Linked DNA regions of Caenorhabditis elegans. The protein of the gene in region 1 purifies or fractionates together with the protein of each later gene. This does not show direct contact. Each region holds a gene or a part of one and is shown on either strand. Other genes may lie near its edges.

Region 1 (7,475 bases):
TAAAATTGGCTCGCGAGGTGTCAACAAGAGGTGTTCGGCAAATCTTAAAATTGGCCGAGCTCGACAAAATCGGCAAATTTGGCAATTTTGCCGCACATCCCGCGAAATAATTTTAAACAACTAATCGTAAAACATGGATAAACCTGGAAAAAAATCATGAGCAACGGATTATTTTTTTAAATTTGTTTCTCTATAGCTTCTGGTTTGTTTTAAAAAAATCAAATAAACCAAAAACCAATTTCGTGGTTTTTTTTCAGAAATGAAATATTTGAAGTATACGAATTAGATATTTCTACCCTCCCACGACTACTCATAGTTCCTTATGATCAAAATGGCAACGTAAGAATCAATAATGTGCTATACCTTTGCATTGGAACATTTCTACTCTCTTCTCAATACCTAATAATTGTGTATTGCGGGCTTCAAATGCATTTTCAAATGCAGAAAGAGCTGCAAAAGTTTTCTGTCGCCAATCGAAAACTTCAACAGCAATTTTTCAAGGCGTTGGTTGTTCAAGTTACGGTCCCGACCATAACTTTCGTTTTGCCAGCAATGCCACTTTTGCTAGGCCCGTTGTTTGATTTGAAGATGTCTTTCAAATCTGGAGTTATTTGTGCATTATTGGGGATCTACCCATTTATCGATAGTATACTGTTTATGTTAATTGTAACTGAGTACAGAAAACATCTGGCTACACTTTGCAATTGCTTTGGCAAGAAAAATCATGTTCAGAATTCGCAATGTTTAACTATTTGAAAATGTTTATGTATACTTGAAAAAATTCCAAATAAAATTCTTAAATATTTGCCGAACGTCTACTGTCCATTTTTATAATGTTTTCCTGCAAAAATTGTATCACAAACCGCATGTGACGTCACACTACATAATTCCAAGGCGGCTGCGTATTCAGGAGCACAACCGTGTATGGTTTACCAGAACTTACCAGTCATAAACGCGCTCCATTGCTACGCGAGAGAGAAGGTGGAGTGTTTAGAGAAATTTACAAAAAGGGTGAACACCATCGATTCTTTTGGAACATCATTTTTAGTAATGTCTTCTAGTTCTCAAAATGTAAGTATATTCTATTTTTGGTTTTTTTTAAATCAAATCTTTGTTACAGATAAAATGCGGATGGAATGGATGCGGCGACAAATTCAGCTCAGAACTTGATATGAATATGCACGTAATGATGAATCACTTGATGATATTGGAATATGGAGAATTTGTGATGAATCGGCGAGCAGTGAACCGGAAAAGAGCTCGAGAACTTGCCAGAGAGGTATGGTTTTTTTTCAATTCAAATTTTATTTTTTTCCCGCTCAAATGAAAATTCCCCCTACAAGAAACTGCTGCGACTTGCTCAAAAATCGATAATTAATTATTCTTTGATTTATTATTTAAAACATAATTTGTCTTGTTTTCAGACGTTTTTAAATAAAAGAACATTTTTGTTTTTTGTAACTCTTTAGTCAGTTTTTGGAAAAATGTCTGAAAAATTTAAAACTATGTTTCAAATGGTAGATCAAGGGCACTTTCTAATTGTTAAATTTGAAAAAAAAATAGAAAAATTAAGAAAAATTCTACAAATATTTTAAACATGTGTATTTGATATATTGAGACTGTATTATGTTATTTAGCGAAAAAAATTAGTGTTTCCACAATTTCAAAAAAAATCTGATCATAATTTTTTTCAGGAATCCATGGAAATTACAAGCGAGTCGTTACACAATCCCAATGCTCTGCGGGCAGTCAAACGTGAACCTGTTCTAGAAGTCCGCGAAGTTGAGGTTCCAACTGTGAATGTAGCACCAGTTCCCGCACGACTTCCGGACTTTTGTCCACCGGCTCGAGTTCCAGAGCATCTCCAGCTTAACGGCTTTGAAGATCAGCAAAGGGATCACGAAAGTTTGCAAATCAAAGCAAATATTATGCCGGTGAGCATGCCAAGTACTGCAGATGGGCCATTAAATCGTTTCTCGCCCGATCTAGTTGAAAACGATGCAGGATCAGATTCATCTTTGCAAAATGGCAACGATCAGGCTCAATTTGATGCTCAGGAGTATCAAAATCAGACAGCAGTTACTGTAAGTTTGAACATTTTTTGAATAAACAACACTTTTCCTAATTGTAAATATTTTCAGCCCCTAAAGCTAATCGAAATCATCGACGAATTTCTGGATCGACTAAAACCGATGAAGCAGCTTGGATTTGTTCGACCACATAAACCTGTATACTGTATTGTGTGTTTGAAGTATCAAAAATCTTTCCACACTTGTAACTGGAAACATACACCCGGCGAGGATCGGGTCGCAGAAATGTGGTATAGGTATGTTTAATATTATCAATTTGGGATATTTGGCTTAAGGGCTTAAGTTTAGGCTTAGGCTTGAACTTCGGCTAAGGTTTAGGCTTTGGTTTCGGCTTCGGCTCAGACTTGAGCTCAGGCTCAGACTTAGGTTTGGGCTTAAGCTTAGGCTCAAGCCTAAACTTCGGATTAGCCTCAGGCTTTGACGTAGGCTTGGCGTCAGTGGCGAGCGTCAGCCTAAATTTTGGTTAAACAAATTTGGAAGTTTTCTCGAAATTTTTGTAGCTTTTAAACATTTTTTTTGCTGAGAAAATCTGCGTTCAATTTTTTTAAAATTTTCAGACGATTTGGCAAAGAGAGACCAAACGGTAAAACTCAGCTAATGAAGGAGCTTTGCGATATCAGACAATGGATCATACAAGAGGGAGGACTTGGAACTTTCCAATAAACTAATTTATGAAGATTTTGTTGTTTAATAAAATTTGTTCACTTACCAATTTCAGCGTTCATTTTTCGATGTCTGATCAATTGGTCAGTGATATTTTATCAGTTGGATTTTTTGTACGCCTTGATTTAATTTTCGGGGGAAACGTCATAAATTTAGGCGCGCCTGTGTAAAAAAAAAGTATAAATTTCTAAATTCCCAAAAAAAATACTATCATTCGAAAAACTGCACATTAATCGGTCTTATCAGTAAAAGTCAGCATAGTCTAACACATTTTTTTTCACACTTTTGTGGTTTTTTCTTTTAATTCCTGGAAAATTTCGCCGGTACAATGGAGCAATGGAAAGTGATGGTCCTGATTTGTATGTATGGAGCTGTAAAAGAGTTCCGGCCCACCGAACCGTACATGTATGAATATCAGCATACAGTTCTGAATATGTCAGAGCAGACTTTGAATAGTCAGGTAATTTTGAATAAAAAACTCTGTCGAATTTTATGAAAATTGTAAATTACTGTTTTTATTAATACAAAAATTTAAAAAATTTAAAAAAAAAACATTAGGGAATTTTTTCTAGAAATTACTAGAAGCAATCGACAAATTGCCGGTTTGCCGATTTGCCGTAAATTTTTAATTTCGGAAAATTGCCGGTTTGCCTATTTGCCAGAAATTTCCAATTCCGGCAAATCGCCGGCTTGACGTTTGCCGGATATGTTTAGAGGATTTTTTTTATAAGACGGAAACCCTTAGAACTGAGTCTTTTTGAAAATTTTCCCGTCTTCTTTAAAAATTTTCATAGAATTTGCTTACTTTTAAAAATAGATGTAGGAACATTCAAAGGATGAGTACAATTTTGCCGATTGAAAATTAAATCCAGAAAATTTCTAAAAAAATGTGCAAAACCAAAATTTGCCAAAACTGTTCGGCAATTGCCGTTTTCAAGGCAAATTGGCAAATCGGCAACTTGCCGGTTTGCCGATTTGCCAGAAATTTGCAATTCCTGAAACTTGCCGATTTGCCAGAAACATTCAATTCCGGCAATTCGCCAATTTCCCGATTTGCCAAAAAAAAATCGTTCGCCGCCCACCCATGTAACATTTGTTTAAACAAAGTTAGTGAATTCAAAAAAGTTTTCCAAAATTTCGAAAAACTATTTTTTTTCTTACTCGAACCCCCGTCAGTAGACACCGAATTTTTTCCAACGATCTTTATACAGCGCTTCGCAAAATTCCAATTTTTCTAAATATTCATGAAAAATGCTTAACTTTTTATTAGTTGAAATTTATTTCAGGTGTACCCTATTTGGACGTACAGCTACTTGATCACCCTGATACCAGCGTTCCTACTCACCGATGTATTTTTATATAAGCCTTTGCTAGTTTTCGAAGCGTTTTCCTATTTTCTGTGCTGGGTCATATTTGTATTTGGAAAGAGTGTCTGGAGTCAGCAAGTTCTTGAAGTGTTCTATGGATGGGCTACTGCAACGGAAATTGCGTATTTCGCGTATATTTATGTGAAAGTTCCAAAAACCGAGTATAAATCGTAAGGTCTTGTACACTTGGTGCCAGGGGCGTCCCATTATGGTTTGATCTAAAAAAAATGCGGGTATTTTTAGTCCAAACTATGCAAATTCAGTTGAGAACTCTTCGTCTCTTCTCCCGCATTTTTTGTAGATCTACATAGATGAAACCGAAATGGGACACGCGGACACCACGTGCTCTATTAAAAGTATGTACCTAGATCTTCCAATTTCTAAATTTTCAGAGCAACCGCTTTTACAAGAGCAGCACTCCTCGTCGGTCGATTTCTAGCTTATGCTCTAGCTCAACTCCTCATTGGCCTTAACTGGACATCGTATTCAACTCTTAATATTATCAGTTTGGTCGCCATGACAATTGCGGTATTCCTGGCATTAATATTACCTGGTGTTGAGTGGAAGGAAGCTTATGAGAAGAAGCTGGAAGATAATAATGTTCAAGGCAATTTAAAAGAAATCGTTGATCAGTCAAGTTATATGGATTACCTTAGGATGTTCTTTGTCGGGTTGCGGCATAATTTAATGGCGATTTATCGCAATCCGCTGATTTTGAAGTGGTCTGTTTGGTCGGCTCTTTCGAGTTGCATTTTTTATCAGGTACATCACGGGGTTCTGGCAATTATCATTGCATTTTTCGCGCTCCATTGACAATCGCCTGCCGAACAGTGCGTGGGAAAGTCGTGTACTCCACACGGACAAATACACTTAGTTTTACAATTAAAACCGAGCCGCTACGCGACATGCAACGCGCCGTAAATCTACCCCGGTCTTGGCCGAGTCAAAACGGCCTAGTTCGGCAAATTCTTGTTTAATATTCTGCTAACTTTCGGCTTCATTTTTTGGGAAAATGTTCAGAAAACATATGATATTTTGACAACTCAATAAGATTATATAGACTTGCTGGAAGCTTGAAGGTTTAAGCTTAAACACAAAGCTTAAAGCTTGATCTCAAAGCTTATGCTTTAAGTTCCTTATATATTTCTCAAATTCCAGGTCACAAACTACACCCAAACTTTATGGGGTACACTTCCGGAGTCTGCGAATCGTTATAATGGTATCACCGAAGCCCTCGTCCCACTTCTTGGCATCCCAGCTGACCTGATCACCCGCCAGCTCAACGTGAATTGGAACCGATGGGGAGACCTTCTCCTTGCTGTTGGCTCCATCGGACAAGCCGGCCTACTTTTTTGGATGTCACAATCTCATCATATCGTGGTGTTATACCTGAGTTACATATTCTATAGAGTCATATACCAGTTGACCACTACGATTGCTCAGTCTACACTGGCCTTTTCCCTGGACTCTAGACTATTTGGCCTACTCTTCGGGATTAACACATTTGTTGCTCTCCTTCTTCAATCTATTCTGACCGCTGTTGTCATAGATTGGCAGAAGCTGGATATTAGGCCACAGGTTTGTTTTGAGTATCTGAAAAATTTAAGAAACAGTTTTTTTCAGTTTGTGGTCTATTCATGTTATCATCTTGTCGTTGCATTTGGATTTGCTATTATTTTTGGAATTTGGGCGAGCAGGCGGTTTTTCAAAACGAGTACTAATTGATTTTTTGTTAACTATACTATAATATATCTAAAATTTGGGAACACTATTATGGATGAAATGAGGAAATATTTTGACGCGGAACTCATTTTTTCTAATATCAGAACAAAACACATGTTTTTAATGTTACATTTCGCAAATTTTGTGATCTAATTGGAACTTTTATCAAAACATAAAATATTAAAGTACATCCCTTTAAAAATGTTTTGACCTTCTACAATTTCTAGTATAATTTGACTACAGAGAGGGCGATATAAAGTCTACATTTTCTGTGAACTTCTGCATTTTCAATTAATTAAAATAACAGACTCGTAAAATGTCGGCTGCTGTGTATGTGTAAAAATATCGAGAAAAATTCACGGATTTCTGGCCATTTTGGCTCGGCCAGATCTGGAGTAGATTTACGGCGCGTTGCGTGTCGCGTCACGGCTCGGGTTTAGTTGTAAGACTAAAAGTATTTGTCCGGGTGGAGTGCACGACTTTCTCACGCGTTGTCCGGCAGGCGACTGTCGATGGAGTGCGAAAAATGAAAATTTCAAAAGGGATAATCATTGAGAAAAGATGGAGAAAAGAATAAAAGTTGTGAATTTGGCTAATGTAATAACGTTCATTCATACGACAACGTTAAAAGAATTTTGTAATTGATTGCTTTTATCTGTCACTATTATAGTAGGAGAATTTCTTTGCGGTTTCCAACACAATGAAAATGTAAAATCTCGATACGGCTTGTGAACCAATATCATTACAATCGTAGACACACTTCCATGTAGTGACAAGACCAAGTATCCCAAATTGTTCAATTTTTGGTTGTGGTACCAAAACATCATAAAGCAAATAAAAGTTGTAAGAGGTACCAACACAATTCCAGCTGTAGATATTGACTGAAAAAAATTAACTTTTAAAAAAGATATAATCACCTAAAACAGAGCAATACTCACCTGAATACTAACCGACTTGAGAAATTTTCTATGAATTGCCAATGTCTTTGCGGAAAGTGTGACCAACTTTTTTTTGGTTAACAAGTGATAAAGTGTCATCGAGAAAAATGTAATAATTGGAACAGCCAAAAATAAGGATGCAAATGCAATGCAAAGTAGTGGTATTACAGGACTAATGCTCAACACAAAGAGCTCTTCATCGTTAAATGTAAATTTTGGCAAACAAGGAAGTTTAGCCAAGATAAAGCTTTGAGCAGTTTCTTGCTCGGGAATAGTTAGGAATGGTGGTAGAAATATAAAAGGTATTGAAGTATAGACAGCGATGAGGTAGGCTTTTCTGATATGTTTCCATGTGGTTTTATGGGCAAACAGTTTGTAAAATCGATTTTCGTAAATTGAGAGGACGGCGGCAATCATAGCTGAAAAATTGTGTAAATTCAGTGGAAAACTATATTTTTAAAAAGGCAAACGATTTTTTCCGGCAAATCGGCAAGTCGGCAAATTGCCGGAATTGAAATATTCGGCAAATCGATAAACCGGCAAATTGCCAATTTGGCGATTTTGCCCAAACATTTTCGGCAAATTGTATATTTGCATATTTTTTGGAAACTTCAGAATTTCAATTTCAATCGGCAAAATTTTATGCATCTTATGAATGTTCCTACATTTGTTTCGAAAAGTTAGCAAATTCTATG
Region 2 (6,834 bases), on another chromosome or scaffold:
TATTGATCAAATAGTGCCAAGCCGAATGGATGTGGGACAACGTTCATTCCTTGAGCAACAATTCGACGATCATTTCCCTAAAAAAATGATTTTATTCGCAGACATTTAAATTGAAAAACATTACTCTAACAGTATTATATTTTTATTGTAACCTGTTTGACTTACTATTAATCATATTTGAAGAAATATATGTAAAAGGTAAGTACCGTCTCTATAATATACATATATGGCATGCTTTGCGTTTTCCAACAGATTAAGAAAAAAAATCACACTTTCAAATGTTGATCAAAGTCCCCGTACCTGATAATCAATACTTTCAAGTCGATCAACTTTAGGATCAACCCAGTAAACCCTCTTTGCAGTTATATCCACAACAATTCCAGATACTTGATGAGTATGTGTGTTCACTAATGTTCGACGATTTGTTCCATCCATTGCAGCTGCTTCAAGTTTGAGCTGATTTGTGAAGAACATTTCTCTGAAATTACAGAGTAAAATTTGACCGTTTAGAATAAAACATACCCTCTGAGTGGATCAAGAGCAATATCAAGTGGAAGTGTAAGGCCATCAGCAAGAAGAACTGTTCTTCGTTCTCCATCATATGATGATACATCAATTCTTCTTGATCCAGACTCAATGATGTAAAGGGTATTTGTAATCCAATCAACGGCAAGGCAACGTGGATAGACAAGAGATTTCAAGCTCAACTTTCTGAAATATACAACGTAAGTTCAAGTTTCTCGAAAGCCACAAAGTATATTTGCTGAATTCAAATTAAAAATTGGGATATTTCTAATAAATTTGTTTCAAAATTTAAGTTAAATTTGGTAGAAAAAAACTAACTTGATTTGTGAAATTTCTCCCTCATCATCAACATCAGCACTGAATGCAGAATGAGCAAGACGATCAGTCCAGAAGATTTTACGATCTCCATAATCAAAGTCAATACCATAAATGAATTCTCCAGAAGCCAATTTCTTGACTTCTTCATCTGGATTTTTAGGATTTAATCTGTAGAGACCCTCTCTTCTTGCAACGAAAAGTTTCATTTTATCAGCATTATTTGATACACAATATCCTCTCATTGTCAGGTTATCTTTTCCTGGACCATGTTCCATTTGAAGTGTAAAACAGTCTCCAAGACATGAGCATGTGAAGCCTGGACGATGATTTGCACATAATTGATCACAATATCCAAATTCAGCGCATTCGTTGATATCAGAACATGTTCTATGGAAACGATCATCGAGTTTATATCCACTTGGGCACGTACATTCACCTCCATGTGGTGATGGATGGCAACCTGCTTGACAACCAAGTGATGGGCACAGGTTTTGCGCTGCAATCATATACATTTTTAATCGGTAGTTTATTTAATGGGATTTCAGTGATAAAAAAGACGTTACTGATCTTTGGACGCGCGATCTTTCGGCAAATGGCATTTTATGCAATAGAAAATTAGGCAGTTAGAACTTATATTTTTGTTGAAACCGTTTTTTGAAAAAAACAAAGATAATATTGGCAATCGACTAAAAAATTGTGGAACATTTATGATGTACCTACTTCTACCTTGTACCTACCTACTTTACGCCTAATTCATACCTAGTCTTTCCATGCCTGCCTACATGCCTGCGTAGTGCCTACTTCAAGCCTACCTACTTCATTTTATTTAAATTGAAAAACTTACAACACTGTTGCTCATCAGCTCCATCAGCACAATCCTTTGATCCATCACAAAGTTTCAATTGATCAATACAATGCCCAGTACCAGGACAATTCCATTTTCCAGGTGGACATCTGTATTCTCCACATTCATCTTCATCCGAGTTATCACCACAATCATCATAGTAATCACAACGGAATTTTCGAGGTTGACAACGTTTATTCTTGCATTGGAATTCATTGGCCGTACACTTTTTGAATTCTGAAATATCATATTTTCAGAAAGAAACTTCTAATTTTCAGGTATGTACCACAAGTGTCAGGTTCGTCAGATCCATCAGCACAATCTTTCGATCCATCACAAACCCATGATTTCTGAATGCATTGAGTCTTATCAGCACAACGGAATTGATATTGGAAGCAGGCTGTGTGATTTCGGGAACAAGAATCCTGAGAAAATAATTAAGAATAACTAAAAAAATAACTAATTTAAGTTGAAAATTACCTTTTCATCACTTAAATCTCTACAATCATATTTTCCATCACATTTCTTCGACACATCAAAACATTGTCTCCCATCAGCACACATAAATACATTTTGGGAACTGCAGTCCACAGTTGAAGCAGCTGAAAATTTTAATTCAGATTATTATAAATAAGCCTTCTCAATTTGAACATTAAAGCAAAAAACTCACGACAATCCTTTTCATCTGATCCATCTGCACAATCAGTGATGTTATCACATCTTTGATATTCGGCAATACATGAGACACTGTGCCATGTGTAGGTATCACATTGCCATTGATCAGATTTACAGCCAGGATGTGCTGAAAATTGAGGAGTGGGTTCGAGAATTTAACAACTTTTATTATTTTCGCAAAAAAATTGTCGCAATTAGTCTCGTAGAAATGAATTTTTGAAACAGACCAAAAGATTTGGGAACATTTTTATATTCAAACTTACGGCAATCTTTTTCATCCTCGCCATCTGAACAATCACCAGATCCATCACATTTCCATTCGGTACGTATACATTTTCCATCGTTACATCTAAAGTCATTCTCGTTGCATACTGATGAAGCTGTGTTTACTGATGCAGATATTATTCGAGAACGAACTGATGGCGGTGAGTCAACTGCAAAAATTTTAGATTGCTTTCAGCCTACTGTCAATTTGTATTGTTCCATTTTTTTGGGGTTGCATGTTTTCGTTTAAATGTTAAACATTTTTGGCAGAAAATATTGTTCATCACATTGATTTCTAAAAAGCTCTGAAATATTCCAAAAGTTACGGTACTTAACTGTTCTGTGATATACCAAGCCTATTGACATTTAAAAATTCAAAGAGATGAACGAAATCTCTACATAAAAAATAAATACTTTTTGTTGATTTTTCTGAATCATTTTTCAAAATCTTTGCTTTACAGTTTCCAAATTATTTTAACGAGGAAGAAAAATTGCAAAATAATTTTAATTTCCGCGCACTCCTGGAACAACGACTGGAAACCCTACTATCCGATCTTTCTATCCTTTTGACATTGTAACTTAAGATTAAACATCACAAGGGCAGACCAAAAGCTGTCTAAAACTAAATCAAATGTTTGACACGGTGTAGTGGTCATCTATGGGGTTGAAGCCAGTTTTCCTCCCTTTTTTGTCACTTTTTTTGGAATGATTGTTTGAAAAACGATGGTCAAAAAAACTTGTATCATTCAGTAACCACATCAACAAACAAATACTAATCACACTTTAATTTACACCGCTTGAAAACTTCGGAGGCGAGGAAAAATATGATGACAAATTTTGTTTGAAACAAAACAAAAAGTAGAAAAAAGGAAAATATTTGAATGAATTGGAAATAATTTTTAATGTTGCTGGTAAATTTTGAAAAAGACCTGATTTGCCAAAAACCATTGTGAATTCTTTTAAATATTTTCCCTAGTGGCGCTATTCCATCTTTAAAATAAGATGTGAAAAGATCATGAAAACCTCGAAATTCTTGGAACAATTAATGTTTTTAATAGTGTATATTCCTTTGTCGAATATTATCATATATTTGTTCACTTTTGTTGGTTTGTTGTTCTAACTCTGAGACTTTTCTCTATTCCAATTGAGAGAGAGAGAGACATTATTTGTGCTATGAGGTGCGCGAGTATGCTTCTCGTGCAGACAAAAGTGCGCCGAACCTCACGAAGCAATGCTCCACATAGGTCACTCTTGAACACCTTTTGAGCTTTTCCTGTTTTTTATGCACCTTTTTTGTGAACATTTGTGCTTCTATCTTTGGTGATATGTAGAGAGGTCAAGTTTGAAATGTCTGGAGGCAGGGCCCAAATTTCAACAAAAAAAACTACGGGAAATAAATTATTTGAACGCCAGTCAAGAAATTATTGAAACTTTTCAAAATAATATTAATTTCCAGTCAAAAAATGGCAAATACTCAGTCTCTGCCATTCATAATTTTAGAAAACGGTAAATATTTTTTAAACCAATTTTACAAAAGCCCAAATCTTTCAGAAAGATTGTCACTTAACAGAAACCTTTTTAATAGAAAGTTTTTAACAATCTAAAAGAATTTAGAGAATGCAACTTTTTTTATTTTCAATCATAAAATGGTGCAGAGAATTCGGACTTACAATTTACAATTATAGAATATAAATATTTGGAGTACTACCCCTGGCAATAAGAAAATTACAGATTTTTGAAATAATAATAAAAAAATTTATCTGAAACCAGAAAAAAAAACAGAATTGTTTTTAACTTGATAGAACTTTTATCGATTTTAAATACAAAACCTTCTCACCTTGAATTGAATGAAACGTTGACTGTTGCCGCGTACTTGAATTGGCGGTTGTTACAGCCAACGCTGTGAAAATGAGCAACCTCAGAATCATTTTTTAATTATTCTCGAAGCATTTGATGGTGGTGATTAATTATGGATGATTGTGAATAAAATATATGTGATTGCGGGGGAGTTATGAGGCTGCGCCTGAAAATTAAAAACAATTTAGTTGGTGGATTCTAGAGGCAAAGGGGAAAATATATTCAAGAAGGCAGTCTGGCAAATGGGGAGATCCATAATTAATCAAAGTTTAAAAATTGATATGAATTGGTAAGCAGGTATTAGAGAGATGCTAGGCATGAAGGTACGCCTGAAGCTCACATACTTACACTGCTTAAAGTATTTCGTTTACTCACAAGTTCCAAGTTGCCTGTTTGGCTTAAACTGTTACCAAATTTTCAAAATCAATGGTCGGTTCAACTCTTGGTTGGATAAAAAAATTGAATAATATTTTGGCTATTCTTATCTGACCGTATTTTCTCGATTAGTCTTCATTTAATAACTGTTTTCCTAAATAATTGAAGGTAAACAAATCATCAATATTTTGTGAATTGACAATTTTTTGGTAAAACCCGAGAATTCGGATGTCCAAATTAGGTGATGAGATGCACGACTATTAGAGGAAATAACATATTGATTTTCTAAATTTTAAGGTTTTTCTAGTAACGAACTGAGATATAAATATCGAAGATTAGTATAAAAATAATAAAAGAACTGAATCGAAGTTAAATACGAATAAAAATGAAAACAGTTAAAATAATTTGGTTAGAAAGAGATTGGCAATAAAAGTGTTTTATTTATCACTAACTTAGGAGATAGCATGTGATTTTCTATTAGACTTGTGATATGGTATTTTGAAATTTTTGCAGAACTAGTTTGAATTAATAAACATTGTTTTCAAGATTCAGGTATTTAAAGTCATTTTCAAAAAATAACATTTTTTAAGTAGCAATAGTTTAACTGTTGATTTGAATAATAATCTTGACGCATGACAAATTAAATCAAGAAAGAAGAGATATCATATTATAGTTCGATCAATTTCAGGAGAAAAACTAAAATATTCGCCAAATCTCTGGGATTCTAGAACAATCGATGGCGGGAAAATTGAAAAGATAAAATAAGGTGATCATCACGAGAATTGTCCCCTCTTCTCACCAAATAGTCCTCCCGTCCCCATACATATCTATCCCTTGTCAACCTGTTCGGAAGGCCTGCTGACTGTGTCCGTCCCCCCATATAACTGATTAATGAATTTGATACGAGGAGGCGGAGTCAAGGAAAATGCCACGTCACATAAAGCACCATATCAGGACCATGGGACTAAAAAATACATTTTCTCTGATAGGTTCTGATTATTATTAACTCGGGAAATGGTGAATCGTCGTTTAAAGGCGCATGGAAAGCCTCAACATGAAAACTGCCGTTATTTTCCAGGTGGGGAATGAAACTATAGTAATTAATTTATTCAGTCTTCGATAAAGTCTAGAAGAATCAGCATCGAAAAACATAAAGAGCACGTTTAAAGGTCGACTGTCACTTCTGGAATTTGGTACAAAAAGTCGCGGAGCTTCATTCAGGAATTTGGATCCGGTGGGGCGTAAGTTTCACACTAGCTATTTTGATGCATTATTTTTCTTTGGAAAAACCTGAAACCGTATTTATTATCAAGACGCAAAGGGAAGAATAATTATAGAATTTTTGCCGCTGCGGATCCAAATTCTCGAATCAAGCTCCATCCAATTGTGAGTTTTTTCGACTTTGGAGTAGTTTAAAGCAAAGTCACATATTTAAAGTTAATGGTAATAAAGATATACACAGTTAAACGTAAGAATATTGTGCAGTTTACAGTAAATTTGAGACTTACAAAAATGTTTTTCAAAATCTCTCAGAACTTGAATTTTTAAAGAATGAAAACATAAAAAGCTAATTTATAAAAATAACCAACAAACCTACAGATTTGAGAATAATAGGGTCTAGGAATAATAATTTTAAATTCGAAAACTACGGAGACGACATTTTAAAGTTACAGATATTACGATTATTCAAGCCTTGCTCTAGTTTCATAAACAAAGAACTCGCATCTAGAATTATCATATAAAAAACCGAAGATGATTCTTGCCAAAATGAATATCCCATAATTACGTATATTGTGAGTTAATAAGATCAATCGCAGTATATTGAAGAAAGGTTCTAAGTTAGGACTTCTATTAGTACACTTAAAACGTGAGTACTCATCATTCTACACTGAAAGTGCATTTAAACAGTAATTATAACTTTAATTTGTACTACTTCAACTGGATTCGGAATCAGAACGATGAAGGCGTGAGAGCAA

What was found. Proteins that work in one complex are often made in the same cells at the same time.
Region 2: the proteins of folt-2 (region 1) and lrp-1 fractionate together in Caenorhabditis elegans (co-fractionation; one large-scale study listed by BioGRID). This does not show direct contact.

What each region holds. Positions count from the first base shown.
Region 1 is NC_003283.11:2,871,085-2,878,559, reverse strand, and holds folt-2 (Folate-like transporter 2), read left to right. Parts: upstream 1-2,959; 5' UTR 2,960-3,081; coding exon 3,082-3,213; intron 3,214-4,039; coding exon 4,040-4,290; intron 4,291-4,512; coding exon 4,513-4,882; intron 4,883-5,278; coding exon 5,279-5,698; intron 5,699-5,743; coding exon 5,744-5,845; 3' UTR 5,846-6,095; downstream 6,096-7,475. Other genes in the region: str-39 (Seven TM Receptor), read left to right, coding at 258-756; F37B4.10 (C2H2-type domain-containing protein), read left to right, coding at 1,051-1,071, 1,121-1,279, 1,695-2,084, 2,142-2,326, 2,648-2,753; srh-243 (Serpentine Receptor, class H), read right to left, coding at 6,454-6,723, 6,781-7,199. UniProt on the Caenorhabditis elegans protein: Unlike folt-1, does not appear to act as a folate transporter.
Region 2 is NC_003279.8:7,611,991-7,618,824, reverse strand, and holds the start of lrp-1 (Low-density lipoprotein receptor-related protein), read right to left. Parts: upstream 4,650-6,834; 5' UTR 4,555-4,649; coding exon 4,464-4,554; intron 2,797-4,463; coding exon 2,626-2,796; intron 2,490-2,625; coding exon 2,358-2,489; intron 2,290-2,357; coding exon 2,168-2,289; intron 2,113-2,167; coding exon 1,974-2,112; intron 1,925-1,973; coding exon 1,688-1,924; intron 1,340-1,687; coding exon 844-1,339; intron 712-843; coding exon 523-711; intron 479-522; coding exon 301-478; intron 78-300; coding exon 1-77.